7 linked regions of the Zea mays genome follow. Each later gene encodes a partner of the first gene's protein in a complex. Links are inferred from orthologs where the notes say so. Each region holds a gene or a part of one and is shown in the gene's direction. Other genes may lie near its edges.

What was found.
Region 2: Mediator of RNA polymerase II transcription subunit 31 (region 1) and Probable mediator of RNA polymerase II transcription subunit 19b share a complex: the UniProt entries of both Arabidopsis thaliana proteins name them as parts of the mediator complex. The link is inferred for Zea mays from reciprocal best matches to the Arabidopsis thaliana genes MED31 and AT5G19480.
Region 3: Mediator of RNA polymerase II transcription subunit 31 (region 1) and Mediator of RNA polymerase II transcription subunit 28-like share a complex: the UniProt entries of both Arabidopsis thaliana proteins name them as parts of the mediator complex. The link is inferred for Zea mays from reciprocal best matches to the Arabidopsis thaliana genes MED31 and AT3G52860.
Region 4: Mediator of RNA polymerase II transcription subunit 31 (region 1) and Mediator of RNA polymerase II transcription subunit 33A share a complex: the UniProt entries of both Arabidopsis thaliana proteins name them as parts of the mediator complex. The link is inferred for Zea mays from reciprocal best matches to the Arabidopsis thaliana genes MED31 and RFR1.
Region 5: Mediator of RNA polymerase II transcription subunit 31 (region 1) and Mediator of RNA polymerase II transcription subunit 32-like share a complex: the UniProt entries of both Arabidopsis thaliana proteins name them as parts of the mediator complex. The link is inferred for Zea mays from reciprocal best matches to the Arabidopsis thaliana genes MED31 and MED32.
Region 6: Mediator of RNA polymerase II transcription subunit 31 (region 1) and Mediator of RNA polymerase II transcription subunit 13-like share a complex: the UniProt entries of both Arabidopsis thaliana proteins name them as parts of the mediator complex. The link is inferred for Zea mays from reciprocal best matches to the Arabidopsis thaliana genes MED31 and GCT.
Region 7: Mediator of RNA polymerase II transcription subunit 31 (region 1) and uncharacterized protein LOC100276155 share a complex: the UniProt entries of both Arabidopsis thaliana proteins name them as parts of the mediator complex. The link is inferred for Zea mays from reciprocal best matches to the Arabidopsis thaliana genes MED31 and MED9.

What each region holds. Positions count from the first base shown.
Region 1 is NC_050096.1:207,962,187-207,966,294, forward strand, and holds the start of Mediator of RNA polymerase II transcription subunit 31, read left to right. Parts: upstream 1-1,308; 5' UTR 1,309-1,383; intron 1,384-1,506; 5' UTR 1,507-1,538; coding exon 1,539-1,668; intron 1,669-2,146; coding exon 2,147-2,243; intron 2,244-2,319; coding exon 2,320-2,398; intron 2,399-4,108. UniProt on the Arabidopsis thaliana protein: Component of the Mediator complex, a coactivator involved in the regulated transcription of nearly all RNA polymerase II-dependent genes.
Region 2 is NC_050096.1:177,740,008-177,744,409, forward strand, and holds part of Probable mediator of RNA polymerase II transcription subunit 19b, read left to right. Parts: intron 1-1,094; coding exon 1,095-1,381; intron 1,382-1,467; coding exon 1,468-1,662; intron 1,663-1,754; coding exon 1,755-1,814; intron 1,815-1,908; coding exon of another isoform or gene 1,909-1,953; exon of another isoform or gene 1,954-2,194; intron 2,195-3,306; exon of another isoform or gene 3,307-4,402. UniProt on the Arabidopsis thaliana protein: Component of the Mediator complex, a coactivator involved in the regulated transcription of nearly all RNA polymerase II-dependent genes.
Region 3 is NC_050103.1:84,915,823-84,920,375, reverse strand, and holds Mediator of RNA polymerase II transcription subunit 28-like, read left to right. Parts: upstream 1-1,571; 5' UTR 1,572-1,717; coding exon 1,718-1,907; intron 1,908-2,341; coding exon 2,342-2,454; intron 2,455-3,219; coding exon 3,220-3,354; 3' UTR 3,355-3,539; downstream 3,540-4,553. UniProt on the Arabidopsis thaliana protein: Component of the Mediator complex, a coactivator involved in the regulated transcription of nearly all RNA polymerase II-dependent genes.
Region 4 is NC_050097.1:165,233,777-165,238,663, reverse strand, and holds the start of Mediator of RNA polymerase II transcription subunit 33A, read left to right. Parts: upstream 1-1,558; 5' UTR 1,559-1,706; coding exon 1,707-2,026; intron 2,027-2,658; coding exon 2,659-2,769; intron 2,770-3,506; coding exon 3,507-3,851; intron 3,852-4,549; coding exon 4,550-4,860; intron 4,861-4,887. UniProt on the Arabidopsis thaliana protein: Component of the Mediator complex, a coactivator involved in the regulated transcription of nearly all RNA polymerase II-dependent genes.
Region 5 is NC_050101.1:142,577,901-142,582,710, reverse strand, and holds Mediator of RNA polymerase II transcription subunit 32-like, read left to right. Parts: upstream 1-1,782; 5' UTR 1,783-1,901; coding exon 1,902-2,345; intron 2,346-3,588; 3' UTR 3,589-3,801; downstream 3,802-4,810. UniProt on the Arabidopsis thaliana protein: Component of the Mediator complex, a coactivator involved in the regulated transcription of nearly all RNA polymerase II-dependent genes.
Region 6 is NC_050104.1:30,394,702-30,397,815, forward strand, and holds the end of Mediator of RNA polymerase II transcription subunit 13-like, read left to right. Parts: coding exon 1-905; exon of another isoform or gene 906-985; coding exon 986-1,375; exon of another isoform or gene 1,376-1,383; intron 1,384-1,470; coding exon 1,471-2,099; 3' UTR 2,100-2,200; downstream 2,201-3,114. Other genes in the region: glycine--tRNA ligase, chloroplastic/mitochondrial 2, read right to left, coding at 2,432-2,530, 2,607-2,692, 2,771-2,852, 2,993-3,094. UniProt on the Arabidopsis thaliana protein: Component of the Mediator complex, a coactivator involved in the regulated transcription of nearly all RNA polymerase II-dependent genes.
Region 7 is NC_050097.1:1,837,218-1,842,096, reverse strand, and holds the start of uncharacterized protein LOC100276155, read left to right. Parts: upstream 1-1,768; 5' UTR 1,769-1,933; intron 1,934-2,084; 5' UTR 2,085-2,119; coding exon 2,120-2,380; intron 2,381-3,013; coding exon 3,014-3,076; intron 3,077-3,551; coding exon 3,552-3,632; intron 3,633-4,879. UniProt on the Arabidopsis thaliana protein: Component of the Mediator complex, a coactivator involved in the regulated transcription of nearly all RNA polymerase II-dependent genes.

The sequences.
Region 1 (4,108 bases):
CCCGGCTTCGGAGGAGCCTCCACGTCGCCCGACCTAGGGCACATGCCCGCCACGTCAACAGGAAGCGCCATCATCACCCTACCCTGAGCCGACTCGGGCCGCAGAGAACAAGACCGGTGTCCCATCTGGCTAGCTCTGCCAGATAGGCAATGATGGCGCCCCGCTAGCCCTGTGACGACGGCGGCTCTCAGCTCCCTTACGGAAGCAGGGGAACGTCAGCAAGGACCCAACCGCTCCGACAGCTGTCCCTCCGCCAGGCTCCGTCGCTCCTCCGACAGCCACGACACCACACCAGCTGGGTGCCAAGATCTCTCCGGCTGCCACATCGGCATGTACTTAGGGCGCTAGCTCTCCCCCGCTAGACACGTAGCACTCTGCTACACCCCCATTGTACACATAGATCCTCTCCTTACGCCTATAAAAGGAAGGACCAGAGCCTTCTTAGAAAAGGTTGGCCGCGCGGGGACGAGGACGGGACAGGCGCTCTCTTGGGGCCGCTCGCTTCCCTCACCCGCGTGGACGCTTGTAACCCCCTACTGCAAGCGCACCCGACCTGGGCGCGGGACGAACACGAAGGCCGCGGGATTTCCACCTTTCTCACGCCCGTCTCCGGCCACCTCGCTTCCCCTCTTCGCGCTCGCCCACGCGCTCGACCCATCTGGGCTGGGGCACGCGGCACACTCACTCGTCGGCTTAGGGACCCCCCGGTCTCGAGACGCCGACAGATGTCCTAGAGGTTGACAATGGAGCGCGAGCATATCTACCGAGTAGGGCGCTTTGTGATGATCGATAATAGATAGATCTACAAGAGGGATTTATAGTTGGGTTAGTTTGACTATAGCAAAATAAGTCTTATCCCCTCTCTATTTTATTAGACGAGAAACGGGGGAGAAATAAATCTACGTACGTGATCCACGACACGCGAAGATATTTGGATTGAGTTAGATTAAAAAAAAAATACTTCTTTTTTATCAGAGACGATGTGAAAACTTAAAAACCAGTGCTTTACGTAGCAGAGAGTGCTTCAGAGAAGAGAAGAGAGAGTGACTATATTATTTTTAGGAAATAATACTCCCTTGATTTTTTTATTTGTCGTCGAACAAGTCAAAAATGAATTGGTGAGCGTCATATATAAAAAACTAGAGGTAGTATAATTTTAAAAAGGATTAATAAAAGTAAAAAAATTCCAACCGCACACGGCACCTCCTCTCGTCCGTTCGCCGCCTGGCTCGCACCGCTGACAGTGCGTCAGTCCAGGTCGATACTCCCTCTTTCCAAGATCCGGTCATTCTCTCTCGGGGTCGGCTACCGCCGCCGCCGTACGCCAGGTGCCGACTGCCGAGACCTTCTCCGATCTGTTTGCCGGCGAAGAGCGCCCGCCAAGTATTCCCACCCTCTTCTCTTCCCTAGTTCCCTGTCTGCTGTGCGAAATCGAGTTCTCAAAACTCTAACCTCAGACTATTTGATTAATGTGTGTACACATGTACACCCTTGTTCCTTTAATAGATCTGCCCCTGGTTTCAACCGATTGAACCCCGATGTCCGACGTCGAGAACCCTGGCGTGGGTGGGAAGCCGCCGCCGTACAAGGACCCTGACAATGGGAGTCAGCGATTCCTACTCGAGTTGGAGTTCGTGCAGTGCCTCGCCAACCCTACCTACATCCACTGTACTGTACTGTCCTCCATTCTCTTGTTTCATCTCACCTTGTTGGGATTAGCTAATCTGATGTTGCACGCATCTATAGAACGTTTTCCTGTACCGGTTTGTTACCAATTTTGATAGGGGCTGTGCTGCTAGTAACTAGCAATCCATTGCAACGGACTGAAAATTTTTGTAGAAGTGTGTGTTTGTCAGTAAGTCCCTGCTTGAGAAGGGAGCTAGGAGTGCTTAGGAATTTTTAGTACTAGCCTAAATCCCATTCTCCCCTATTCAAACTGGTCTCGTCTGCATGGGCCTCATGAGCGGTTTCTTATCAATAGGATATGATTGCTAAGCTAAGGCTGTGATATTGTTAGTAGTGTTGCTTGATATCATCATTTTGTGTGCCTCATGGCTCCTTGTTTTTTACTTGAACTTTCTTGTTCAATGCACATCATGTTTGGTACTGCATGGATGATTTGAATGCTCTTTCTTTTCCCAAATAGATCTAGCGCAGAATAGATATTTCGAGGATGAGGCATTTATCGGGTACCTCAAGTATCTAAAATACTGGCAGCGACCAGAGTATATCAAATACATAATGTGAGTGATACCATATTCAGTGGTTTTTTCTGCAACAGAGGAAATGGCTTGCTCATTGTTTTTGCTGATGATGCAGGTATCCACACTGCCTTTTCTTTCTTGAGCTTCTCCAAAATGCCAATTTCCGAAATGCAATGGCACATCCAACAAACAAGGTGATCTTTTGGCCTAGAATCACACGTTCACACTTGAGCACCGTTTTTAGCTTTTGTTTACCGTCTTGCAGTGTCATCCCTTCTTTCAAAACCTAGCTGAAGTTGCTCTGTTGGGCCATATTATTTTGACTTGCTTTCTAGAACCTATAAAAAACAGAAAGTCACACAAACTTGATATGAGTACTTTTGTAGAACTATGCAGCACGTATACTGATACATGTATCGGTATCACAAGGATACTGATACACAGATACAGCAATTTCCTAAAAATTCCCATTCATGAATACATTTTACTATTTTTTAAATAAAAGGATAATAATGCATATTAAAATGGATAGCAATCTAACAATGAAACACCACAATCTACTTAACTATTTAAGTTCTAATTAAAGCACAGCAGGTCTCAATTCTCAAATACAGTAGTCTCAAATTTAAGAAATTAATAAAAGGCATTCAGGTTTGCAATTCAGGCTCGCACCAAGTTCCTATTCCGCATTTGTCTTGCTTGTTTCATTCTCATCCACAACATTAAGCTGGAGATCACCCAAACCAAAAGACACAGCTTGCAATTCAGGCCCATCAAGGGAGAGGTCAGGCACTTCAAGGATGCCAATACCACCAAGTGAATAAAAAAATCTCCTCCCACATCCCACATCATTGTCTCTCCTGTCTTATATGCATCAGTTCTTTTTGGCAGACAAAGACCAAATCTTCAACATGCTCTGAGTTATGGCATTTCTCTTGACACTATGGATAAAGCTATAGATGAGGCTGGTTGGCTAAGCAATTTGGTGGCCAAATTCATCAATAAGGGAATAGGCTGTCCATGAGTTGTCCACAAAGTCATAGGGGAAACAGCCAATCTATCATAGATTGAGTCAGGATCATTAGATTCTTTTGAACAACTAGAGAACCTTGAGTACTCTTCTTTTACTTTATTCAATTTTTCCAGCACGCGAAAGAACTTGAAGCAATTCATCCTCATCTTTTTATATCTCTTTATTCTTGTGGGGTGGTTCATGGCTAGGAACGGGAATGGGTCGGGTCGACCCATTGGGTAGTCGACCTGACCCACAAAAGTAAGGCCAATAGGTCAAACGTCAAAGGGCCGCTTCAAAGTTTAAATTGGCTGATAGGGCCAGAACCTGTTGACCCAATGGGTAATGTAGGTCTACCCACTAGTTGCATAACAATATTTTTCTTGAATTTGTTGGTCTTCGTTATTTTTTGTTTCAAATAAACACGATTAGTCATAACTTATAGACACGTCTATGCTTGGAAGTATGTCGAGGAATATCTGGAAGTATAAATAGTTAAAATACAAAATTGCATTATTAATACTTTGTGCATCGCAGATCATAACCAAAATTCTAAAAAGTGTTAAGCCATTCATGATAACTAGGTTTGAACCATGCATGACTCCCAGCAGAATTTTAGAGTTTTGAACTATGACTAAAATATCATTTTGGACTATGACCAATGTTTCAACCATGCATGCATGCACATACAGGGAGCAACAGCCATTAGTTGGATCTGGCTATGGTGCCCAGCAGTAGCCCTCAGCCCACTCTTGTTTGCAACTGCAAGTAGGCTGAGGGAGCCGCCACTTGGCCACTTGCATTATTTGCACCGGCTAGTTACCTGGTCCGGAACCTTGTGCCCAGCTGCGTTAGTGTCCTGGCGGCCAGGCCAAACCAACCAAGCTGCAGG
Region 2 (4,402 bases), about 30 Mb from region 1:
GGGTTTGACTAAGACTCACATAAATGAATGAAATGCACCACGGTCCACGGGTCCTTAAACTATTTCTGCATTGTCATCTAAGCCCATGAACTCTGAAATTTATCATCCGGATCCTTCAACTTTTCAAGTGGTTCATTTTATGGTCACTCTAGGTCCAACCATGGACTTGAATTTACACTTCAAACGAATCACTTGAAAAGCCGGAGGACCTAGCTGATTACTTTGAGAGTTCATGGACCCAAATGGGAATATGGGGAAGTTTACCCCCCCCCCCCCCCTGTGGTTCATTTCACTCTAAATATTTATTTGGTGGACAAGCAATTTTCAGAGATGAAATTGTTAAAATGGGTGGTTATCTTTTGTTGGGGTCTTATTTCCTGATCACCAGGTGCATATACAACATGGTATATCATAGTTTGCCTCCAAGTTACCATTATCAGTATTATGCCAATCAAGTAGCACTATCTGAAATTTTGATTGTGTGGCTGGTATTATCAACCAGAATGGTTGGTTAATGGTTAGTGCTGGAAAGGAACAAAAATGAATCTGTTTGATGGAAGCAGGTAAGTATTATTTGTGATCCCTATGTTTCCCAGTTCCCCTTATATGCCAATTATTCAGTATGCAAATCTGAAATGCTAAATCCTAATTCATGTGGGCACAAAGCAACAGAGTTATATTAGTATCACAGCTTGCTTGATTATTAGTTATCGTCATTAGTTTGCAAAAAAATTAGTAATAATTATATGCTTGGAATTTTAAATACAAACTTCTGGTGCTGATTCTTTTGCGGTTTTGCCAGTTGAGGCCAGTATGTCTTGTAGTCAGCTGTTTACTACAGTTCTTTTTACAATGGCAAAATTTTAACTGTTTTATTTACTTATTTACAGTTCACAATGCGTTAGTTGGAACTTGGACGGTTAATATTTTGTGTCATAGTGCACAAAGTTGTTTTATGAGCCGCATTACTGCATCTAATGTCTATTGTATGCTAGAATAAATTTTGTATCATAGATATATCAGTGCACCTATCTTTTCTGAAACCTTATTTGTCTGCTATGTGGTTGATTGATAATACGATCTCTGTATTTCAGGACCAAGGGAGCTCACTGGTGCTGTTGATTTGATCAGCCACTACAAACTGCTGCCACACCATGATTTCTTTTGCAAGAAACCTTTGCCGCTGGCAATATCAGATACACATTATCTTCACAATGTTGTGGGAGACACTGAAATTCGCAAAGGAGAAGGAATGGAGTTAGATCAACTTGTTCATAATGCATATCTGAGGGATAAACCTGCTTATATTCAGCCCTTTGATATGGAAACTCTGGGGCAAGCGTTCCAACTTCGAGAAACAGCTCTTGTGGATTTGCCTTCTGTAAGATCCTTTCTAGTATCTCACTTCTCTTATGACATTGTTAGATTTGCTCATTGTACTGTTTATAACATATACCATATCAACAGACTGAAAAAGGTATACCGACTATTTCGGGTAAACCAAAAAGTGAGTCCAAGGACAAAGAGAAGAAGCATAAAAGGCACAAAGACAAAGACAAGGAACACAAGAAGCACAAACATCGGCATAAGGATCGGAGTAAGGACAAAGATAAAGACAAAGACAAGGATAAGAAAAAAGATAAAAGTGGCCATCATGAAAAGGTTAGTCCATTTTCTGTATGGTCAAAAACTCTGAATAGCTTCATTTTAAACCATATATACCTTTGATGGACAATGCTCACCATTTGTATCAGAAGAGGAAGCATGAGGGAACAGAAGATTCAGTAGATGTGCATAAGCACAAGAAGAGTAAGGTAGCACACTGCTATTATTTTCTTGCTGATACAATAGCTTTCATAGAGAAAATTTGCCTCTTTGTTTTTAACATGGATGGTCAACTTACGGCAGCACAAGAGCTCCAAAACCGATGAGATGGGGAATGGAGTTAGTTAACACTTCCTAGCTCTACCTCCAATCCTTGTAATTTGCTGTTAAAACTTAAAAGGAGACAGACGGTCTCTGCTATCAAAACCCTGTGCAGAATAGTGGTACGCTTCTTTACTTCCCTTTTAGATTCAGTTTGCTTTTCGTGTAACTTTTTTAGATTCTGTTATTCCGTGGTATCTGCCTTGGATAGCTTGTCTTATTTGGGTGTTTTTTGTCTGATGATGCAAATCTTTTAGCTAGAGGTTCATTGTTAACTTGTGTCTTTAGGCATGTTTGGTTGAGCTGTGGCTTTTGAAAAAGCACGTGTGAGCTGTTGGTCATGAAAACGCTGGAGTCTGGCATGTGAAAAAGTCAAAACTGTTTGGTTGAACAGGTGTAGCTTCTGGAGAAACTATTGAGAGGACCCCACATGTCATTCATAGTTCCCCCACTCAACTCTCCCTCTCTCACTAATAAGAGGACTATGCTCGATAGCTTCTTCCTTCCAGTTCGTGCACTGGGAGGGGCGTCGAGGGCCATGCCTGGGGAGGAACTGCCAGCCTACGAGCGTCGGCCTTGCAGCCACGGTCGGCGATGGAGTGCTGCATCTGTGAGGAAGTCAGGATGCACTCGCTCACATGTGGCGGAGGCTCCCCTGCCAAAGGCATGGTCGACCGGTCGGGAGAGGAGAGGACGGGTGCGGAGGGAGGCTTGCACCTATTAAGTTCTCTATGTTGGAGGATAGGGGCGGGGAAAGGAGAGGGCGAGGGGTGGCGTGCGCCCGTCGCTGTCGGTGAGGCCTCCTGGTAGAGGCCATGGACGGGGGAGGTGTGCGCCCGCCGACAAGTCCTTCCAGGTGGAGGTTAGGGGTGGGGCAATTAGAGGAGGGCGGTGGGTGGAGGCGCTGTCCTCCGGCTCTCGCTGGTGAGGCCTCCTAGGCAGAGGTCAGGGGTAGGTGGGGGGAGGATAGGGGCGAGGGGATGTGTTCACACCCATCAGTCGTTGTCGTTGAGCCCTCGGGCTGTGGATGACATGCTGTGGTGGTGGAGGATGTCGAGGACGATGACGTGGTGGAGGCCACACTTTCTTTCTCATGGAGAAAGTAATAGAGAAAAACAAATGAAATGGTACACAACATAACCAGTAGCAGGTGGGTAATTTTCATGAAAAGTTGGAATGAAGACGGGTGAAGTATTAGTTGGAATGAAGACGGGTGAAGTACTAGTCAATAACTTCTTTTGTTTGTGAATTTGGGTGAAAACCAACCCCTGGCTTCTTTGGGAAGCCAAAGCAGGTTGAAAAACCCAACCAATTGGGACCTTAAGCCATTTTAAGAGGCGAAATTCCTATTTTCTAACATTAGTCTCATCTGATTTTCAGCTTCATCTCTACAATATCTAAATATGCAATGGCATTGACAGCTACTCAGATTCTATGTGGGGCTAATTTGGTGACCAGAGAAATGGAGGTGATCCATGGGGTGAATAGCAAGGCCCATGGATCCCCTCCATTTCCCTGGTCACCAAACCAGTAGGGTGTGTTTGGTTTCAGGAATGAGGTGGTCCATCTTCTCATTCACTTTTTTATTTGGTTTGTAGAACCCAACCAATTAGGACCTTAAGCCATTTTAAGAGGCGACATTCCTATGAGCTAACATTAGTCTCATCTGATCTTTAGCTCCATCTCTACAATATCTAAATATGCAATGGCATTGACAGCTACTCAGATTCTATGTGGGGCTGATTTGGTGACCAGGGAAATGGAGGGGATCCATGGGGAGGAATCCCCCTTGCTATTCACCCCATGGACCCCCTCCGTTTCCCTGGTCACCAAACCCGGTAGGCTGTGTTTGGTTTCAGGAATGAGGTGGTCCATCTTCTCATTCCTTTTTTTATTTGGTTTGTGGAATATAATGAGTTGATCCATCGCACCCCATTCCTCACAAGCTAATAATTAGTATATACATGTGGAACGAGTTGATTCCACTGAAATTTATTTTATGAATTCATCATGCATCACCTCATGAACCATAGGGTGACTCCACAAACCAAACTCACCATTAATTGAACTGTTCATTAATTAGTTGCTCGTGCGTTACAACACTTTGTATACATTATATAGATAGTCCTTGCTTAAATGAGATAATTATTCGGTCACCATATAGATTCTCAGAATACACCAAAAAGAGACAACCGGGAACCAGGATAGGCTCAACACATGCACCAGCAGTCGGCGCGCCTCCGACGCCTCACACGGATCTAAACACGCGGCGATACGGTTCTGAGGTCGTATCACACGGATTGGGCTGCGTCTTGTGGTGCACCTAGGATTTCACCCTAGAGATATCGTGCAACAGTGTGGCGAGGAAAGAGGCGGAGACAACGAGCAGCGAGGTATGTGGTGTGGGGTGAGACAAGATGAAGTTTTTTCTCTTATTTTTTTCCACGCTCGCGAGATTAGGGATGGTGATGGTGGA
Region 3 (4,553 bases), on another chromosome or scaffold:
AGAGGAGGACATTGATCAAGGGGGAGATGAAGATGATCAAGACAAGGAAGATGATCAAGAAATTCAAAACCAAAGACCACCGCACCTAAGAGTCCACCAAGCAATTCAAAGAGATCACCCTGTCAACTCCATACTTGGTGACATTCACAAGGGGGTAACCACTCGATCTCGAGTTGCTCATTTTTGTGAACATTACTCTTTTGTGTCTTCTATTGAGCCATACAGGATAGAGGATGCACTAAGAGATCCGGACTGAGTGGTGGCAATGCAAGAGGACCTCAACAACTTCACAAGGAATGAGGTATGGTATTTAGTTCCATGTCCTAACCAAAAATTAGGGTGTTACAACTATTAGGGCTTGTTTGGGAGAAACAGGATTGGAGGGGATCGAGGGGTTAAAATTTCTTACTTCTCAATAAGCCCTTAAGTGATTTACTAAATTTTAGGTACCTGAATTTTAGTTTTTAGTGTGTTGTAATTTATATAGACATAATCTACATTTTTACTCTTAAGAATAAAATATCTATTGAACAAAATCATAAATTTGGTAGATTTTGATTTGTGTTGACATAAAGACCATTAACATTTTGCAATTATTTTAGTAGTTAGCTAAGGGAAAAAATATAGGTTATAACATAAAGGTAAACAATAAAATTATAGTCTTAGACCCCCTTTGGACCCTTGGAATTGAATTCTAATATAATAATTGTAATTTAGACATAAATCAATTAAACTAATATGGTTTTATAGTGAGTATATTTGTATATTAGTGTTGGCCATATTTGAGAGATATTTATATGTTACATTTCTACTATAGGAGAGTGAGTAGAAGAGTGTGTTATAAATTACAGAGTAGAAACGTAGAATTGAATACATAAAATCAATTTCCACCCCATCTTATGAATTTGAGATGAGTTTATATCTAAACTTTGGAAAGTGGTGTAATATCAAATTCAAATCAAATAACCTACTCTATTAAATACTCCCTCCAGTCTTTAAATACTTGATGTTTAAGTGATTTTCACTTTGGATGCAAATACTTGATGTTGAAGCATTTGAAGCTTATTTTGGACTAGCAAATGCTTGATGTTGAAGCATTTGAAGCTTATTTTGGACTAATATACCCTTGATATAAGTGGTTCACACATTCTTCCACATATGCTTAATTATTCTTATCGTGAAGGTTTGATCTCACGACCTAGTGTAAAATTCTTTAGGACCCAACCATCTAGGCTAACATCTTCATGTGTTTGTTGTGGAATCTAAGCGTATTTATTAGGGGTATTATGGAAAATAACAACCCTATTTAATAGCTCCTTGGTATATGAGGTCATGTCCAAAACATCAAATATTTGAAGACTGGAGGGAGTAAATTCCAATTCTTTGAAAATAAAAGGATCCAAATGGTCCTTTATTAGCAATCAGTGGTATATAAGAGTGTTGCCTAAATTTTAGGCACCAAAATATGAAGAAGTGTGCTATTATAAAAAAGAAAAAATATTTCAGAAAATTGTCAGCCTGAACAAACTATGCGCTTTCCTTCAGCCAAGGCAGCCTCAGCCCTCGAGCCTATGCCTATCCAGGCGCAGAACACGCCATTTGTAAACCAATCCTAGCCGTGCGTCTTCAATCCAACGGAAAGTTCCTCCTTGTCAATAGCAAATCGGAGGCCCAAGCGCTCCCAATCTCTCCGGGTCCTCTCTCCGCATTCTCCGTCATGGCTGAGCCGACGCCGTCGCAGTCGCCAGCGCAGACGCCGCCCCCGCCGCCGACGCAGCAGACTCCCGCGGCGGGTGGGCTCGAGGACATGCTGGCGTGTGTGGCGGCGCTGGAGGCCGCGCTGCTGCCGTGCCTCCCCGCGCGCGAGCTCCAGGCCGTCGACCGCTCCCTCCAGTCCTCCCACCAGAGTACGGCCGACCCCCATCATTTCCCCACTCTCCTCCTCTAGAGGTAGCTTCACTTTGATCCGGCACGGCTTCGACACCAGTAAAGTCTCATGGTGTTCGGTCGGTTAATGGCGCCGTCGCGCGCCACATGTTCGTTGTTTTGCCTACGGGATGGATAAAGGGATCTTGCTCTTTCTAGAGGAAGATTTTGCATCTTTCTTGTGCCCAGGAAATTGTATATCGATTGGTTTCTTAGGTCCTAGACTGAGAACTCAACTTGTATCAACTGTACCAATCAGGCAATCACATTGCAATGCTTATTAAAGAAGTAAATCACATTTTTAGATACCGACTTAATAGTGTGCAATGCTTATTAGAGAAATTTAATTGCATTTTCTCATTCGTTCCTGCCAAACAGGGTATCTAAGTGTTGTAGTCTCTACTAAATTGGGCAGTTGATGTTGAGAGGCACGCAAGGGATTTCATGGAGGCTGCCAAGAAGCTCCAGTCTTATTTCATCAGCCTGCAGCGTGAGGAACCGCCATCTGCAGAAGAGATGCTTCGAAAGGTATATTTCTACTTTATCCTCGTATAGTTAAGAGTGCGGCAAGGATAGTAGTTAAATTAAATTGGGGACTGGTTATGGAGAATGAATTAATTATAAAGTGTTTGGTTTGAGGAATGAGCTAGTCCATCGTCTTCTCACTTCTCTTTTTTTATTTGATTTGTGGAATGAAATAAGGAATGGAGTCATTCCTTATAGTTAGTTAGTACTAATATGAGAAATAAGGTCATCCCAGCAAATTTGAGGAATGGACTCATTATACACCACATCATTTTGGATTGAGTGACTCCTCAAACCAAACACTCCCTTAAAAGTTTTCATTGGTGATAGGATTGACATTTCACATGATATGATCATCCCAAGTACTGTGATCATTTGTGGTTGGCACTATACTTAGGAATAGCCAACTTTATAAATCACATAGTGCTACTTGCTACAGGCAGTTTGTTACACTCAGTATAAGCTTTATTACAAAGACTCCTATATTTCTACTCGAAGTTGAGGTGTTCATTATTGAAAGAACTGGTAGCCTGCCTGAATCGTCACTTCTACAAAGTAATGTTCCCAAGGAACACCCAATCACATTCATACACCTAACACCTTCTGTGCTCATGAATTTTTCATGCACACGTTTCTGTAAAAAAATGCCTTTGCAGTAGTTGAGAGAATCACAGGTGCATAGTTGCTGGTCTTAATTAGGAATTTGGGATACATATACCCACCCAATATTTATCATCTCGTTGGCATGTTCGGTTTTGCATTGCACAGGAGATTACGACAATGGAGGAAGAGTTGAAGAGCAAGTCTGAGCTCATTGCCAAGCACAAGAAGTTGATTGAAGGGTGGCAAAAGGAACTGAAGGAGCAGCTGAGCAAGCACATCACGGAGCTTGAAAGGGTGTGAGGAGTGCGATTCTGCGGTTTACCTTGTAGTGATCATGAACCTCTAGGTGACCAAATGTTATGTTATGCCCTATAAAACTGTGTACATGTGCTTAGAATCTGACGCCATGGTTAGCAATCGCCTTTTGTTGGTTTCTTAAGGTTGGAAGCCACGAACAAAGCCCACTTTATCTATGTTTGATTGTGTACCTTTACTTGCCCCATGGTCTCTGTTGTTGTGCAAAATGAGTCTCTGCCATCATAAAACGACATAGAATGCTAACGGCTTCCTGTCTTTATGGGTAAACTTTGGGTGAATTTATGGGTAAACTTTGGGTGAACTGTTGGAGTCAGCCTAGCGGGTTATGTGCCTACTCTGGATGGCCGCCATGTTCGCAAGTTCCTTTCTATCTTTACTCCATTTGTGCCTGGATCAGCTCGAACAGAACCTTCTCCTGACAAAAAGCCGAGCCAAGTGGCACAGTTGCTACGTTGAATACACGAGCAAGCGAAAAAAAACACTTTGTGTTTTATCTCCGTTCCTAAAGGTGCACTGCCAGGTTGTTCAGTAATCCACTACTAGTCAAAATCTTTCTCAATCCATTTCAATACACCTTAATCCATATGATTTTGCTATAAAATGAACAAGACCTAAGGACATAATCCTTGTCATCACAATTCATATGGATTGGAGATAATTGGATGAGTTTAAATTTATAGTAAGTTAAAATCTCTATTTTTTTTCAATCACATCTAATCTATGTGGCGTAGAAATAACCGAGATGGAACTGTTCCATTCCATCACATTTTTACAGTAGTTTGGTTTAGAAACCAAGAGAGGTTCCTCCGAGGAATATACTGGTAAGATTCGGGGCCAATTCACTCATCCCAATCGAATCGGGCAAGCCCGTGTCGAACGCCAAAAGTGGCGGGCGGTTCGGCCTGAAGGCCCAGACGGTCCGCACTCCGCAATCAGATTGACTCGGACGATTATTTTTATCACGTGTGTGGTTATCCATCTAATCACATAGGATCTGTTCGCTATCGCCTAGGAATGGGTCCAAACCTCCCATATATATATATATATATATATATATATATATATATATATATATATATATATATATATATATATATATATATATATATATATATATATATATATATATATGTCGGGACCATAATTAGGGGTACCCTCAAGGCTCCTAATTCTCAGCTGGT
Region 4 (4,887 bases), on another chromosome or scaffold:
TGAGCCCCACGGTGGGTGTTTTTTTAATACTTTTTGTCTTAGTCACTTTTTTTGTTGTCCATATTTTTCGTTTATGTCGCTGATTTATCCGTCTTGATTTATTTCTCATCTAGTTTTATTTTTGTGACTGATTTGTTTATTCGTCCAGCTTTTTTTTATCCGGCGAGCACAACAGCTGTATATGCAGTAAATTCTAAAATATATCATCCATGAGACAAGTATATAATGGAGTATACTTTTATTTAGTGCAGAAGAAAAAAAGATGATTATGTGTGCTTCTTTTTACTGGGAATATGTTATTATGTATTTAAAATTTATGTTCAAAAGAACTTAATAAAAATATAATATTTTTATTTGATCACGATTGAAGTAAGAGTGTTCTCATTTGATTTTTATTGTGGTTAGCTGAGCAAACAAGGGGAGAAGTTGACGGCTTATGAGCACTGTGGCACACAGCTGCTGTGCTCGCTGGATAAAAAAATTTGGACGAATAAATAAATCAGTCACAAAAATAAAACTGGATGAGAAATAAATCAGGACAAACAAATCAGCGACATAAACGAAAAATATGGACAAAAAAAACAAATAAGTGACAAAGACAAAAAATATTAAAAACCACCCACCATGGGGCTCGAACCCGCGACCACAAGGTTAAGAGTCTTGTATTTTACCAATTAAGCTAGACAAATTTTCTATACAGAACAGAGCTCGGCGCCATGATCTATGGCGCCGAGCTCGGTACCACGTCGGCCCCACGACATTCGTTTGTGCCAACGCAGCACGTACCTCGGCGCCATAGCCTATGGCGCCGAGCTGTGTTACCTCGGCGCCACAGGCTACGGCGCCGAGTAAATGGTCAAAAATGACATTAAAATTTTCTAGGGTCTAAATGTGATTTTTTTTCCGATGAAGGACCAAAATGCAAAAAATTCGGAACACACGCATACCTACCGTCTTCTCCTACTAGTACTAAAAAGAGAGAGAGATTTGTTTGGCGGAGAGCGAGACAGAAAAAAGTAGTACCATATCTGCAGGTGAAGTGGTCAGGCTGTGTCACTGTCAGTTCCCACTCACTCACTGACGCCGTAGTAGGTGAGCGTGAACTCAACGGCCCAACTCCGAGGGCCGAGCCTGACGCATCGCCACAGTACCCAGCCAATCCGAACAGGACGACGGCCGGCGTGGCCACCGCGCCGCGAGTTGGGCTGCCGGACGGACGGTCGGTCGGCGGGGCCCGCCGCGCGCGGGCTGCAGCAGCAGCTTTTTTCCAAACCGCGAGCGACGAAGTCAAGGGCGCCGGGACCACGTGTCAACGGGTGGGGGCTGGATCACGGCAATGGCACCACCACGCCACTTGGTGTGGGACCACACGTACCTCCAGGATCCGCTGCGGCCAGTGGTAGCCTGGCGACTCCATTTTCTCTTGGTTGGAAAGCTCGGTCACGCAGAAGATCCTGAAGCGGCGGCCCCACCGCGAGGTGGTGCGGTGGGGGACTGGGGGGAGAGGTGGTTACACCAACGGGACGCCATCAGCATCATCGGCGATCGGACCACCACCAAACCAACCCAGCAGCACAGCACCTGCAGGGCTGCAGCAGACACCACTCCAGCAGCCTCTCTCTCTCTCTCTCCTCACCGGCACGGCACTCCACGCGGCGGCAGGAGCACCCACCGCCACTGACGGGCGGGGGGGAACACGCGCGGCCATGGCCACGTCGGCGCCGCCACCGTCCTCCGCGCCGTGGCTGGAGTGGGCCGCGGAGTATACCAAGGCGGCGCAGGCCGAGGCCCGCCCGCCGCCGGAGTGGGCGGCGCGGGTGGCGGCGGCCGCTGCGGCGGCGGGCGAGAGTGAGGACGTGCCCTGGTCCGCGGGGCTCGCGGAGGTGCTGGCGCGAGCGCTGTTCCCCGGCGGCGGCGGCGGCGGTGGCGGGGCTGCCCCGGCGGCCGCCGCTTGGAAGTACGCGGAGGCCGCGCTCGCGGCGCGGCTTGCGTCCCCGGCGCTCCTCCTCGCGCTCCTCTCCACCAGGTGCGGTCCGGTGCTTCGTGGCGTCGGCTTGTGCGTTGTGTCTGTGGCGTGGTCCGTGGCGGTTGGTAGGATCGGAATGGCGGAATGCAGCGCTTAGCTGTCGGGGATCTAAATCGAATCAGTTGCACCTCGAATGCACGCAAGCAGTTTTACGACGTGTCCGGTCAGGTGTTTGCCCGTACACGAGTTTTACCAGGAAGCTGACGTGCTTCGCCCCGATAATTTGAGGGGGCGGAAATACGCTGTGTGGCAGTGTCATGTGTCAATGCATTGCCAAATGACAATGTGGGTAGATCACACCATGGGAGAAATGCCTGTTTTAAGAATATATAAGCAGTTGGACACTCAGTCGGTAGGCTAATCAGGGCTTCACTGCAATCCTCGTCCAGTTTTTTTTTTCAAGAGAAACAGGGTCTTGTAATAGCCAACACGGTTAGTTTGACCTATGTTTTGGGACTGGAAAAGTAGTTAGATTAGCGTGTGGCAAATCCCACTTAGTACTAATTATTTCACTGGCTGGTATTGCTGTCGTGCAACGTGCTTGGATTGTGTGGTGTGTGACCTTATGATGGAGTTAGGACTTTTCTCAATGTTTATTCTTATGGACTTCGTTTGTTCTTCGGGTCCTGCAGGGTAATTCCTCACCGGCTTTCCAGGCCAATGGAGTATAGACTCTACCTTGAGCTCTTGAAAAGACATGGGTTCAACTTCCATCATCAGATGAAAGCAGCAAATTTCAGAAAGTGTGCCTTTCCCCTCTCTGACTGCTCCCTGTATTTTCTTAACACTATGCTCAAGTCAGTGGTCTGGAATGAGAATCAGAGTAATAGGTGTAGTGTTCAATGTAATTTAGCATTATTCTTAATGGCCTTAAAAATAAGCATTTCAGTTTCAGGTGTTTGTAATTGTAATAAGGTTTACACTTGTATATACACCTTGTTGTGTGATGTCTCTGTAGTGGATTAGTGGTCATATCTTAATGGCCTTAAAATAAGCATTTCAGTTTCAGGTGTTTGTAATTGTAATAAGGTTTACACATGTATATACACCTTGTTGTGCGATGTCTCTGTAGTGGATTAGTGGTCATATCTGTCATTTCCAACTAAGGGCCCCAACTTTTATATGATGGAAAGTCTACTTGTCTTGCAGTAATGCATGCAACTTCTCTTGAATTTGTCAAGGCGGCATTTATTGCCGAAATTCTTCTGGAAATTTTCTTATATATCTTTTATACATTACTTATGTTCTTCACTTCCTAATACTTTGCACTGTTATTGCTCTATAACTTTAAATTGTTTTTTGGAAGTAAGAGTGTATGTGCTTCCATGTGGTTTTTAAGCTTGTTCCTTGCACTGTTATCTATTCATGCACTCTATCCCTATAGAAGTCTCAAATGCAATTGAAAAAAGGGCCTGTCTTGCAGTGTTAAATTTGCTGGAGCAATAAGAGATCCTTGCTAAAGCCTCTCTAATGTTTGCAGGATCATGGATATAATAGAGCGGAATCTTAGACTTTCCAAGATATTTGGCATCTCTACATGTGAACCAGGGGTTTTTGTTGTGCATTTCATTCTTTGTATTATATGGCAGTTGATTGATGTTGTTCTGGATGATGAGGGCCTACTAGAGTTAACTCCAGAGAAGAATGCTCAATGGCCAACAAGGCCTGAAGATGTGAGCACATTTGAAGGAACTTTTACTGAACAAAGAACTGAGAAGATCAAAAAGTTACAGAAGATGAACACTGTAACAACTATGGAGCTCATTGAGCATCTTCTTCGCGATAAAGTAATTACTCGTATCCTATCATTGGCACGCGAAAACATGTATGTCTTTTCAACTTGAAGTACTCTTTTACTGAATTGTTTCAGGTCTTTATTTTTGAGCATTTGGAAATGATGAATTCATCTTTTTGCTGATTGGTCATTAGTAATCTGTTTTCAAATATATTAGTCAAATAACAAACTAGATCTTCATCTCATAGGCTCATGACCTCATAAACTTCACTCAAGCTTATGGAGGAAGCCTTGGTTTATTCCTGTTTGTGTGGGATTTGGGTTTGGGGAGCTACAAATAATTGCTCAAGATTTTGCCAGTAACATAACCAATGTATCATAGAATATTCTGTGTATTTTCTCTAATGCAAACATTTAAGATAATGTTCTAGAAGCACTTAGGGTTATGCAAAAGGAAAAAAGTACAACTGTCTATGCTTGTGGTATTTTATTCGCCTTACCTCTTAAATAGCCAAGAAAAGTTTTGATAAAAACGGCAGCCATGGGACTCGAGCTTTGTCATGATCTGATGAACTGATGGGTGAATGTAAACATCAAGTAACAGTAGTTTACTGGAAGTTCGTGATTGAAACCTAGTAGTCATTTTCTGTTCATATAAATAAATGAAGTGATGTTGAAGGGATACTCTCACTGAAGATGCAACAATGGCATATACATGCAATTCCTATTTTATGCAAATTATTGCCCCTTTTATTTAGTAACATTGTCAACAATCTCAATGGTTTCAGGCAATCTCACTGGGGGGCATTTACTAACCGGTTGCACTTGCTTGCAACAAACTCATCTACCTTGCAAAATTCAGCAATATCCTTGGAACCATTTCAGCATTTGATTCTAGGTGATTGTGATGCATATGGTGAAACTAAACATAATGTGCATAAAAGATTCCACCAAATAGTGGCTTCTAACCCTCTATCTTCACCAAATGGACGATGTCTTGGTGCTAGCTATTCTGCACTATGGATTCCTATTGATATGTATCTTGAGGATTGTCTCGATTGTTCAATTGCTGCAACAAATTCTATTGAGATTTTAAGTGGTAATGTCATTCATCAATAGAAACGAA
Region 5 (4,810 bases), on another chromosome or scaffold:
AGAAGTAAAATAAGTAAAGATGATTGATGTCAGACATTACTAATACACTTCTTTTCTTATTTCTACTTAATTACAAATGATTACAATAATACCTTCGAGAGCTTAAGACAACAGTTCGAAGGTAGAAAAGTAATAAAGCTTTGAAGGCGGAGCGATTTCGATCCGGCAACGTGTCCTGTGTATGACATTGTGTCTATATTTATAGTGACGATTCGATGTACAACTTCATATGAAGTTATAATCATGCTCTCAAACCATATACAAGTAACCACAAAATTTGCCTGGGGAATCATCGTTTTTGTCTTCCAAAGCCTTGGTGCACACATCGGTGAGTCCTTTGTTCGTTTTCTTGTCATTCGCTTCGAGTTTGGCGACATGCTTTATCTGCACGCTTAAGCCAAAGCTTCTTCTGTTCCTCTTTTAACCTGCATTAGCGACCTTCGGCAAACATGAATTGGTTGCTCTCGGAATAAATGATAAAGTGGTTAAGATTAGTTGATTTTAATTAAGGACCTCCTGCAAAGGCTTACCCCCAACAATTGCTTTCAATGTACGGTAACGTTTAATATACTACGTATTGTGTATTAATAGAGTGATTCACTGATAATAACACACCCATTTGGTTACATGTCAAGCCAGATGACATGTCTAGAACTATCTAATCAGAGTCACAATCAATAGGGACAATCGTAGCAGTAAGCCAACACACCACTCAGCTCTTCCTACATTCAGTGGCGGATCTCCAACCGAGGCTGGGGCTGCCTGGGCTGCAGCCCGGTCGCGGCCCAAAAATCAGCGAATAAGCCCATCAGCTCCAGCCGCGCGACCGCGTGAACAGCCTCCCAGTCGTAGGTCGCTCCTCCTCCCTCTACCCACGAGCTTCAGGCCTCCAACCGCCCACGCCCCGACGCCCGGAGCACCGCTGCAACCCGCAGCGTCGCTCGCCCGGAGGCCGGACCGCCGGAACACCGCCGCTAGCCCCGCCCGGAGCACCGCCTTGACCACGCCGCTGTCCAGCCGCCACTCCGCGCTCCCTCCTTCTGCTAATTCGTGGAGCTCAGGTTTGTACACACGCGCTGAGAAGAAAGTGTGCTTAGCTATTAGCTTGTTCTTGCATTGGAGTGATGAGCCAGACAGCCAGTGATGTATGGCCTTGCCATAATGCCATGCGCGGTGTGCGGCGTGTGCCAATGCCCCTCCAAGCTTTCTGTTGGGGGTTCCTTGTTCTGTTGGGAGTTTGGGACGATGAAGGAATAGGAGGCCAAGAGAGTTTCTGCTAATCTGTGACAGATCATGCAGGAATAGGACGTCCCATGCGAACTGCGAAGCAGAAGCAACGAAGGTGAAGCTGTGATCTGTGAAGCAGACAAGCAGTGAAGGTGAAACATGTGCTATTGTTTGCTTTAAGTTTGATTTGAAATTTTGATTTGATTATTTATTTGGTAGTAATCCCATGCTTATAAGAATAGGATGGATAAATTTTTCATCAAGAACCAGAAGAAAGATGATTCTAATTCTAAAACAATTAGGATAAACGAGAGTCTTGTAAAAAAAAGACCACGTATAGTAGCTCTGGATCCGCCACTTCCTACGTTCTGTCCGCACGATTGATCGCGAGCTTCCCAACAACACGCGTCCAATAATGTAATTTTTAGAATTTATTTACTATACGGTCTGGGAAAACAATATTATTTTTTTAGAAAAAAATCCATGCCTACAATCTCTAGCCCTGGTCCAGATGCGTATGTCGAATAAAAAGGCCCATCCTGATCTCGACCCGATATCGATTGGGCCATTTCGGCATTTCCTGTTTTCACGCTTTGCTTTCGGTTTCGGGGTCGTCGTGTCGAATTGGGGGCTGAGGCCGAATTGGATCGTCAGAAGCTGGGGGTGAGGGAGGGATGGAGGCGACTGTGGACCACCTGAGCGCGGCGTACGACGACTTCATGGCGGCGGCGGCGGCTGTGGTGGAGGCCCGCGTACAGTCGGGCGGCGAGAAGAAGACGGCGGCCACGGACGCCGCGCTCGAGGCCTTCAAGCAGCGCTGGGAGATCTTCCGCGTCGCCTGCGACCACGCCGAAGAGCTCGTCGAGTCCATCCGCCAGCGCATCGGCTCCGAGTGCCTCGTCGACGAGGCCACGGGGTCCGCCTCCGCCGGATCCGTTGCCGCCCCCGGCATCAAGCCCATCAGCGCCGTCCGCCTCGAGCAGATGAGCAAGGCCGTCCGATGGCTCGTCATCGAGCTCCAGCACGGCGCCTCTGCTCAAGGGACCGGCGGCAGTGGCGGTGCCGCTACCCCAAATGCCGGCGCTGGAGGGCAACACCCGGAGGAGGGTGCCCAGTAGGTATGGACTATGGAGTTACTGAATTAAACTAGTAGCATCGCCCTTCTCATATGAAAATTGTAGCATTTTTCCTTCAATAGAAAACAAAGAACTTGTCGTTGCTGTGTTTCTATGAGTGACAGCATTAACCTTGCGTGTTGATATTTGCAAGAACATGAACTAAGGTGCCGTTTGGTTCATATATTTGTAACGTAATGGGTAATGGATAACGTTAAATCATGTTTGTTATAGTCCAACCGTAATCAGATACCGTACTAAAATTTGATACCAGCCTATTCAAATTTGTTACCGCCAGTAATCGAGCGTAAACTATTACCATTACCATTTGCGTTACATTTTTTGAACCAAACAGCACCTAAATCATTGCGATTTGCTGGCTGTTGTTTTTACCTTTCCATTTTGAGATATACTACTACTCAGCATTAATGTCTTTATGCCCATTGGTTATTGCCCAATCTTTACACAGATTGCTAAAATGCTGCTCTCCATAAAAAAAAATTATAGTGTCGTGACAAAGCATGAGAGGTATATAGATCTAATTACATGATGACCAGAAAAAAAAAACCTGGGGGTATAATGCTGCGCCAGTTTTAAGTCTGTACCTGTTTGGACCAGCCAGTGTATGGGGATTGGTTGTTGCAGTTTTTGATTTTGAGTCAACTCTTTTGTTGAGTGAAGAGATAAGGTTGGGAACTTGGGATCCCTGGTTTGAGATAGACAAAAAAACTAAAAAAGGGCTGATCCAGTGCTGGAGGCTCTCACACGAGTGGGGTCTAGGAAAGGGATGAGCTTCGAACTCACGACTTAAATTAGGTGCCGTTTGGTTCCTAAAATGTAACGTAAATGGTAACGGTAATGATTTGCATTCGATTACCAGGGGTAACAAGTTTGAATAGGCTGGTATCAATTTGTAGTGTGGTATCCAATTACAGTTGGACTTAAACAAACATGATTTAACGTTATTTGTTACCTATTACATTACAAACATATAAACCAAACAGCACCTTAGTTCCTTTATCGTTCTATAGATCCAAAGTTTTATTCACCACTGCTATGGTCCCTACAGATTCATGATATTTGAGTTAACAAAGCAGTACTGGTTTTCATTGTTCTCAGAGTATATTCACTAGTCATTTTCACAAAAGCACGAACTGAATTGAACAGTAATTTAGTAAGATGGTTACCAAGAAACCAGATATGCCCATCACTGTATCTCAAATGTATGTTAATCTATTATGTGCAGAAAAAAAAGATTTGACTATGCTACATGACAGTATGCTGATAAACTATTGGAAGTAAGCAGAAATGTGGAGATGTCATAATCTGTTTGTATCGATATTATAGGATCTGTAGACAAAGTACAATTTCACAATTTGATGGCTGCACTCAAGAGAATTGGCTGAGGACTATGAACTACTCCCTCCATTTCTAATTATAAGATTTTTTGGCTTTTCTAGATCAATAGTTTTTGCTACACACCTAGAAATATATTATGTATAGATACGCAAAAGCTATGAACCTAGAAATGCCAAAATGTTTTATAATTTGGGACAGAGGAAGCATTAGCAGAAAAAACATGCGTTTACATCCAACATGGATTAAGACGCGTTAACGCATTATCATACCAAAAACATAGATGATATGGTGAGCAAAGTGCATTATCATACCAACAACAGTAACATGGATTAAGACCACAACTGATTGTTAAAATTTGGCCACTGACTCAATATAAGCAGTGTACCTAAAAAATAGAGCTGAAATGAGATAATCTGTACAGAAACTTTAAAGGTTGTAACCAATGCCAAATTCAGAAAATAGAGCTAGATAAAATATTAGCTCCATAAGTATACCGGACTTTGATAAATGTAACATGCTGAATGATACTACTCCGTATCATGTGAGAAAAGGATCTGAGTATCTGGTCGATTAATTTAAGAATATATTAAGACCTGGAACTTCTGAACTTTAAACACAATAAACTAATAACCTAAGAGCATAGTTAAGTTATACTTGGTGTACGAGATCTTAAATCTACATTTGCAGGCCTTGTGCTGCTGTGCACACAAAATCAGGGAACACAAACTCTTAAATCAGTTCTTGAGATTAGAACCTACTTACATCTCTCTAGCATAGTCCTGTAAGCACTATTGCATTTTTCTCTTGTTACAAAAGAGACATGCCTCTGCATATCCAGTCATAGCAAAGTTAAATTGAAATAAATGCCATGAAATATATAATACTCTATTAAGAACTTAATGTGGGCACCTGTTGTTACCATGACTTCACTCCTCCGCGCTGACACTCTGGGTCCGCCCCACGCATGCCGCGCAGCTAATGTGCCTACCCAGTACTTGACCCCGCCCGTGCAGCTACCACACCGTGCAAAAAATAGTGCAAACCGAGCACTCGAACCCACACTTCCTTGCTTCGGAAATTCAGGGCTAACAATCAAACCACACTTACCT
Region 6 (3,114 bases), on another chromosome or scaffold:
CAGCAGTGCTTCTGTAGATGAAGCATCAGCATCAAATGTCGTTATGCTATCCGGGTTCAGTATACCCAAGCTCGTCTTGCAGATTGTTACTATTGAAACTGTACTGAGAATGGATAAGCCAAACAAGGAGCTTGCTGTTTTGAAGGACATAGCATTCACAGTGTACAACAAGGCACGACGAATCCCACGGGCTGTCTCCACAAGCGATATGTTCCAGTCACCAACTTATTTGGGTAGATCTCAGTCCACAATGATGCATGTTACATCTCCTGCTCCTACTCTTTGGAAGGAATGTTTAGTTCCTCGAATGTCTGGGCCAACTCTCTCTCGAGAAACCGATTTTGATGCATCCATGAGGTCGGCAACATGGGATAACTCATGGCAGCCTGCTCGTTCGGGAGGACTTCTGGACCCAAGTAAGCTGCCTGATTTATGTGCTCAGGATGATAGGAAATATGCCTTTGAGCCACTTTTCATACTAGCAGACCCTGGGTCTGCCGATCTTAATGCTTTAATGGAACCATCAAAATCTGGAGCAGATGCATCTGGCAGCAGGGTATATGGCTCAATTTCAGGAAGTAACTCTGATAGTGGAGTGAGCCCTCTACTCGACGTATCTGAGAGTGACAGTGCAGCAAGTCTTCATTGCTGTTATGGTTGGACTGAGGACTGGCGATGGCTAGTGTGCATTTGGACAGATGCTAGAGGAGAATTATTGGACAGCTTAATATTTCCTTTTGGTGGTATTAGTAGCCGCCAAGACACTAAAGTTCTCCAAAGCCTTTTCATCCAAATTCTACAGCAAGGCTGTCAAATAATGTCGTCTTCACCTGAGGCTAGCAATATGAGACCACGAGATGTCATAATAACTCGTATCGGAGGTTTCCTTGAGCTTGAAATCCAAGGTACTCACTTGTTTTTATCAGGAACTGAGATACCTTCTGTTTCGAGACTAACGCGATGATCTAATATGTTTTGTCCGCAGAATGGCAGAAGGCAATATACTCTTATGGTGGCAATGAAGTGAAGAAGTGGCCTGTGCAGTTACGGCGATCCATACCTGAGGGTATTCCACCTAGTTCAAATGGTCCTACGCTCCAGCAGCAGCAGCAGCAAGACATGGCCTTAATTCAAGATAGAAACATGCCTTCCTCACCAAACCCTCTGTATAGCCCTCATCCAAAATCAAGCTTCATGAAAGGTGCACTTGGACAATCTGGCAACAAAAAACAGATCCTTGTGGAACAAAGTGGAATGGACACTTCAAGGGGATCACTGCACTTAGTTCGTAGCATCAGTTTGGTTGCAGTTTCCCAAGATCATTCGTTGCATCTCACATGCCAAGCAGATCTACTGAGCAGACCTGCTTCAGCTGGTAAGCACCTAGACCAACACAGATTAAAAATTCATTTCAATGTTTTTCAAGGAGATCAATGGTAAAAGATATTAAACTTGGAACACTTTTTACAGGCGAAGGGAGTCAAGGCAGCAGTGGCCCTTGGAGTTACCTGGAAGGTTTCACTCCAGTGAAGTCCATTGGGTCAATGTCAGCGTCACACTCGTACCTTCTAGTTCCTTCGCCAAGTATGAGATACCTCTCTCCTGCAACATTACAGCTCCCGACATGCCTCACATCGGAGTCACCGCCGCTTGCCCATCTACTGCACAGCAAAGGGACTGCGATTCCTTTAGCGATGGGCTATGTCGTCTCGAAAGCCGTCCCACCTGTTAGGAGGGACTCTGCACAACTCACCAAGGATGAACAGCCCTCTGTTCTCTCAGTCAGCATCATCGATCACTATGGAGGCAGCAGTGGGACTGTTCAAGAGAAGATGAGCCGAGGCGGCGGCGGCGGCAGCAAACAGGCAAGGAACTTGAGTCAGGAGACAACAGGTCGTGAGTGTGAGATGGAGATGCATAGTGTGCTGGAAGCTGTGGCCGCGGAGCTTCACTCTCTGTCTTGGTTGACAGTAAGCCCGGTGTACACAGAAAGGCGCACAGCACTGCCCTTTCACTGTGACATGGTCCTAAGGATGCGGCGGCTTCTACACTACGCAGATAAGTATCTATCTGAACCTAAGGGAGAGACAACTCACTAATTGTCATGTACAATTAATATCTAGCTAGGTAGGTATGTGAGGGCACATTTGACGAGCTTTGTAGACTGATTTTGCAATAACCCTGATAACTTACAGGTGGATGCTGTAACCTTTTTCTCTTTTTTTAGGTCTGTATTGTTTGTCGACACAAGATTTGAGATATGATTCCGTTTGTTGACTGTATTAATCAGAATTACAAGTACAGCGTTTACTGGGATTGCCGTGCCCTACTGCGACGACGTTTTTTTTTCCTTTAATCAGAAATACTTGTAAAATCAAAATCATCTCTCCGCTACGGCTATTGCTCACACCCCCTGGCTGGAATAGGCAGCTTAAAACCCAGGTAAAACTGACAGGTCCGCAATCCCCTTGGGCAAACTCTCAATCTTCCTCAGCAACGTTAGCCGGTTGTTGCGAACTCTCTCGTCTTCCTGCGCATAATATACACCATCATCACTCTCACTCATCAGCACAAGTTAAGTTTTTCAAGGGCCTCACAAAACTCACCGCCATCACGAAGACACTATTGAAGAAATCTTCTAGGGGTTGTATCAGGATAAGAGAAGCATCCACAAAGGTCTTAATATCAACACCTACAGAATGGGTAGTTGGAGGAATCAGACAAATGAACATTTAAATTGAAATGAAAAATGGATATGAAAAACATGTACCAGGATGGATCTTATCAGCAACCTCCAAGTAGGCGCTCCACAAAACTTTCTCTTCATCTTTCTCAAATACGTGTGGGTCAACCTACACATAAAATCAGAGGCAGGAGAGAAATACCGCATAGTCAAGACTGGTGATGGGGTAGTTGCGAGTCAAAAACTTCACCATAATTTGAACTGAAATCACAGTTTATGAATTATGATGGTACATGTTTAAAACAGTACCTCCAAAGCAGACTCAATTTCTTTTCCACGGATGATCCTTGTTGGCCTTGAATACGCTTCAACGATTTTTTGAAATGTTTCTGTTCTCGAAAATGCTTCCATCTGCAAGTGTCCGCACAAAC
Region 7 (4,879 bases), on another chromosome or scaffold:
CTTACAATCTCTCCTTGTTGGTGATTGATGACAACACAACCAAAGCAAGCAAATGATACAAGTATTTGAATGAAAGTATGCAATCTACTTGCTAGGATGCATGTTTGTCCCCTCAATGTGAGATTATGGACTTAAGCCTCCCCTAACTCCATAATTCACTTACTTCCTATTTTTGGACCAAATAACCAAAACCACTTGAAAAGCCACTTGTAGATTTTAAAATTTTAAATTGGTGGTGTTTGATGTTTGATACATTGTTCATTGCTTTGGTCCCTAAACTTCTCCCCCTTTGGTATCAACCACCGAAAAAAGAAGATATTAAAAGCATGTAGGAAGTAAATAATACTTGCCCTCATAAAGAATTTTGTCAATTGATACCAATTGCAGAATTTTGCCCTCATGTAAACTTGCCCTCATGTAAGAATTTTGCCCTCATAACGATCACGCGTCACCTAGTGTGTGTAGGCATATACTTTGTATGGCGCATTGTGCTGCCTTCCCCGGTATACGGGTCACTGTAGAGGCTCCAGTGCTGAGGTTTTTTCTATGACTGGGTTGACTGACCCCACATGGCAGTGGGGATACGCCTTAGAGCGTACGTGGTGGCGTTCAGTCGTGTCGATAGTGACCTCCTGGCGCCCCTTCGGTACGTTGCACATATGTCCGGACGTGGGTTGATGATGACGCGTCTTGTCGTAGCCATCACGGGTTAATAGCGTTAGGTTGGGACCTCCGCCTCGTATGGTTGCCCAATTTGGAGTTGGTCGACCGCTCCTCCTCAAAGGGTTGCTCAGTGGGGAGTTGGTCGGCTGCTCTGCTTTGCGAGGTTGCTCGTCGATGAGTTGGTCAGCCGCTCTGCCTCTCGACGAGGAATTGGTCGTTCGCTCCATCTTGCAAACTTGCTCGACGGAGGACTTGGTCGTCCGCTCCGCCTCGTAGGCTTGCTTGGCAGAGGGTTGGTCGGCTAATGGGCCGGAAGGAGGTTGTGGGCTTACTTTTGGTTACCCTGTTCCTAGGTACATGACAATTTACATAGTAGAGTTCTATTTGGTAGAGCTCTTTTAATGGCCCCTCAACAGCTTCTTCAAAAAGGCTACCAAATGGTGGGCTCCTCTCGTGGCTTCTCCATAAAAATAGGAAGGAGATGTCCCTAAAAACCGAGGAAAGCCCAGAGCCTAAAAAGGAGGCTTCTCTGACTCGACTCTCTCTTGTCACTCACCCTCCCATGAAAATAGGAGTAGTTGTGTTTTAACTAAATAGAGTGTTCTCCAAGGGTTACTAAAAATAAGGATCAAACTATTTTTTTCAGATGAGCCAGAAGGAAAGCCGGTGATGCAAAAATCCTACCAAAAGGGAGCCTCAGAAGAGTCAACCCACTTTATAATAGTACACATATTCAAGTTTTAAAATTATATATAACCTTAAAAATCATCTATATATTTTGAGCTTTTAAAGTGGGCTAACACGAACCCTACTAGATGTTAGTGTCGGCATGACATGATTAGACACTATAGTGCCGTGTCTAGACAATAGTACTAACACATCACGACACATTTACTAATAGTGTCTAATAACACCATTAATGCTGGACAGACAATCTATTTAGCCATCTATAGATGAATAAGGTTAAAAAACACTATCTATCTCCTCTCGTATCTAATATCTATCCACTATTTCAACTCCAACGCTACAAACAAAGGTATGACTATCGTACAACAACAGTTCTTTAGACGGCCATATCAGCTGGACACAGCCACCGTACTCCGAGATTAGCGCCCCCGTCGGCCAAACAGTACCGGACTGGCCGCCGTTCACAGTTCACGCCCCGCGTGGTCCCTATTTCCCGGCGAGCACTAGGCTACCGCCGCCGCCGTCAGGTGCCGGTGCCCAGACCTTCGTCGTGCCCATTTCACCGGCGACGAGCACCCACTAGGTATGCCCGTCCCTCCTCTCCCCTATCTGCTTTGCGAAACCGAGCACTCAAAACCTAGCTTAAGAATCGGATCTGATTCAGGAGTAATTGCAAGTATATGCATGTATTATTATGCCTACTAAATTACTAATAACTTCGATTTTTCCAATAGCCCCTGCCCGCAGGTGTTGGGAACTGGGGATAGAGATGGATCACCACCACCCGCAGCAGCAGCAGCAGCAGTACGGCGATCCTTACCGTGGGCTCATGACGTCCCCGCAGCCCGACCACCACCTCCACGCTCTTCAGTACCATCAGCCGCAGCCGCAGCAACAGCCGGCGCTTATGTCTCCACCGCAGCCACAGCCAGCACTGATGTCTCCACAGCCGCAGCAGACACTGATGTCTCCACCGCAGCCGCAGCAGCATCACCACGCCTCTCTTGCCTCCCACTTCCACCTCCTACATGTAAGTAACGGAGTGTTTGGAGTTGTGTGGAGTTTTGTGTTTTGGGGGCCTTTGCTCTTAGTTTAAGATAGCATAGATGATACATACCCTCAAATGAACCCTTCTTTTTGTAGTGATGTCATTGATGTTGTTGGAGTGTGCCCTTTGTGCACCGGAATTTCAAAATTCTGAACTTGGGATTTTGCTAGTCATTAAAGATTGTCATTAATTTGTCCTGTATTTGTTGCTCAGCGATTGCAATTTCTTCACACCATGATTTGTCACTTTGGCCGGTAGTGAAGATTGCCATATTATAGGTGTACATGAACGATATACAAGCGTCAGAGCGTGCAACATTGGTAATGGCCAGAGAAAATGTTGATTCTAATCACTCGAGTTGGTTTGACAAGAAATACATAAATTAAAAATATATATGAGGGCACTTTAGGTATTGTAGGTTTTCTTAAGCTGGCAATCACATGTCTGTATTGGCATCTAACATTTAGGCTTATTTCCAATGGCTTTTTTGCAAGTAGCAAATCTTTGTTTCCACTTTTATGATGGCTCTTCTTCCTTTTACTCTTTGAGAAAGTACTAGAATGTATTGTGAAATACTGATAGTTTTCTTCTTTGCATAATTTTGTTCTCTGTTAGTTGGTTACAAGATTAGCCGATGCTATTGGTACAGGAACAAGGGACCAAAATTTCGATGCACTGGTAAGAATCACCATTTACTAATTTTCATTTGTTTTATGGATCAATGTTCTTGTACTCATAGTGCATGATCTTGTCAGAAACAATAGTTGTAGCTTCTTCTAGGCGTGGAGCCTGAATATTCTTATACAGAGTTTGAATTGACATGTGATGTAATTCTTAAATCACTTCCCAGAGAAGAGACAGGTCACAAACAATGCTCTAGTGTTGGTGGTGCACAGGAAGCTTGGGACCAGCCCAGGGTGACAGGGTCTGCACGGTTCAGTTTTCCATAGCCAAAACCAAGCCAGTGGAAGACATACCCTTAGTTATGCAATTATGCAATTGCAGAAGCATGTTAAAATTACTACTATGTATTGTGTACTTCCATGCTGATTTCTTATAGAATACCAGCTAAACACCATATTTTTCCCAGCGTTTTGCTAAATCCTAATTCCAATAGCTACTGTATTAAGAGAAGCTTTTTATATATATCTAGGTTGAAGAATTGACCAGCCAGTTTGCTAGGTGCCAACAATTGTTGAACTCCATATCGGGAACAATAAGCTCAAAGTCTACTGTAAGTTCTGTTACTTCTCTTTCCTGACTCATATGCTTTATTCTTAGTGGTCTTCTGAATTTGATAATAATTACTAAGTTAAATTGAACTATTCTGGCTAATGAATCTCAATTACTTTGTTTTGGTATCCAATAAAATTTTCAATTGCACAAGAATTAAGAATTTTTTCCAGAAATGGATAATAAGACGGGGTATAGTAGATCTGTTGCAGGTTTTTGTGTTGTCTCATAAAATGTCTATAAATATTCATGTCTCTAGGCAAATCCTTTTAAAAAGTTAATTCACATTTATTTAAACATCAACAGGAGCATTGCCATATTATATAGAAGGCATGGGACTAAAAGGCTTTCTTTGGGACTGCCCCAACTTGATTGGAGCTAAAAGGCTTTGTTGTTGCCAGAAGCACTAGCATATCATATAAGAACTCAAATGTGCACGGTGCACACATGTTGTCCTCATGCTCAAACACGGATGAGGCTGCCCAAGCAGTCTTGGAACGTGCCTACTGAGCAACTCACACACATAGAGGCTTAGTCCCCTCTGATGAAAATCCCGTGTGACACCTGAGTCGCCCCAGTCAGGGATCAAACTCGGGTAGTAGCGCTCGCACGGTCGCACCGAGCGGCCTTAGTGCCTTACCACTGACTTACTGAGCCATTGTTTTGTTTTCTAATTCACAATTATTAGTTGTTAAGAGTGTCTAAAGTTTGGCTAGTTTTGGCAGTTTTTACTGCTGGGTTACTAGTACGTAATAACTGATGTTACTAGCCAGTAGGGACTGTCGGTTTAGTGGAGACCGGCATGAGCTGCCTTCCTTAAAAAGCCCTAGTTTTCCAGTTGATACCGGTGTCAGTGCTGTCATTACGATCTACAATATTTAGAACCATTTTAATAGACCTAATATTGCTAATTTTATATGTTGTATGGTGCTGGTTATTTTGTGAATTTCAAAGAAATTGGTGGAATATTGCTCGATCAGCACCATTGGTGATTGCCTGGTTTACCCAGTACCAGCTGCAATACATTAAATATTGGAAACATGTTTTTATAGCATGATTGCTGTTGATGACCATTTTAAATAAGTTAGTCAACAATGTGTATTAATGTGTTGACCTTTTCTTTTGTAATTTGTTTTGGATTAATGCATTATATGTAACAAATGTGCATATGCATTATGAATCTCACCCAAAAACTAGATGTATGTTGAGTTGCAACGTAATTGTAGTCCTGTCTTAAACATGTAAGAA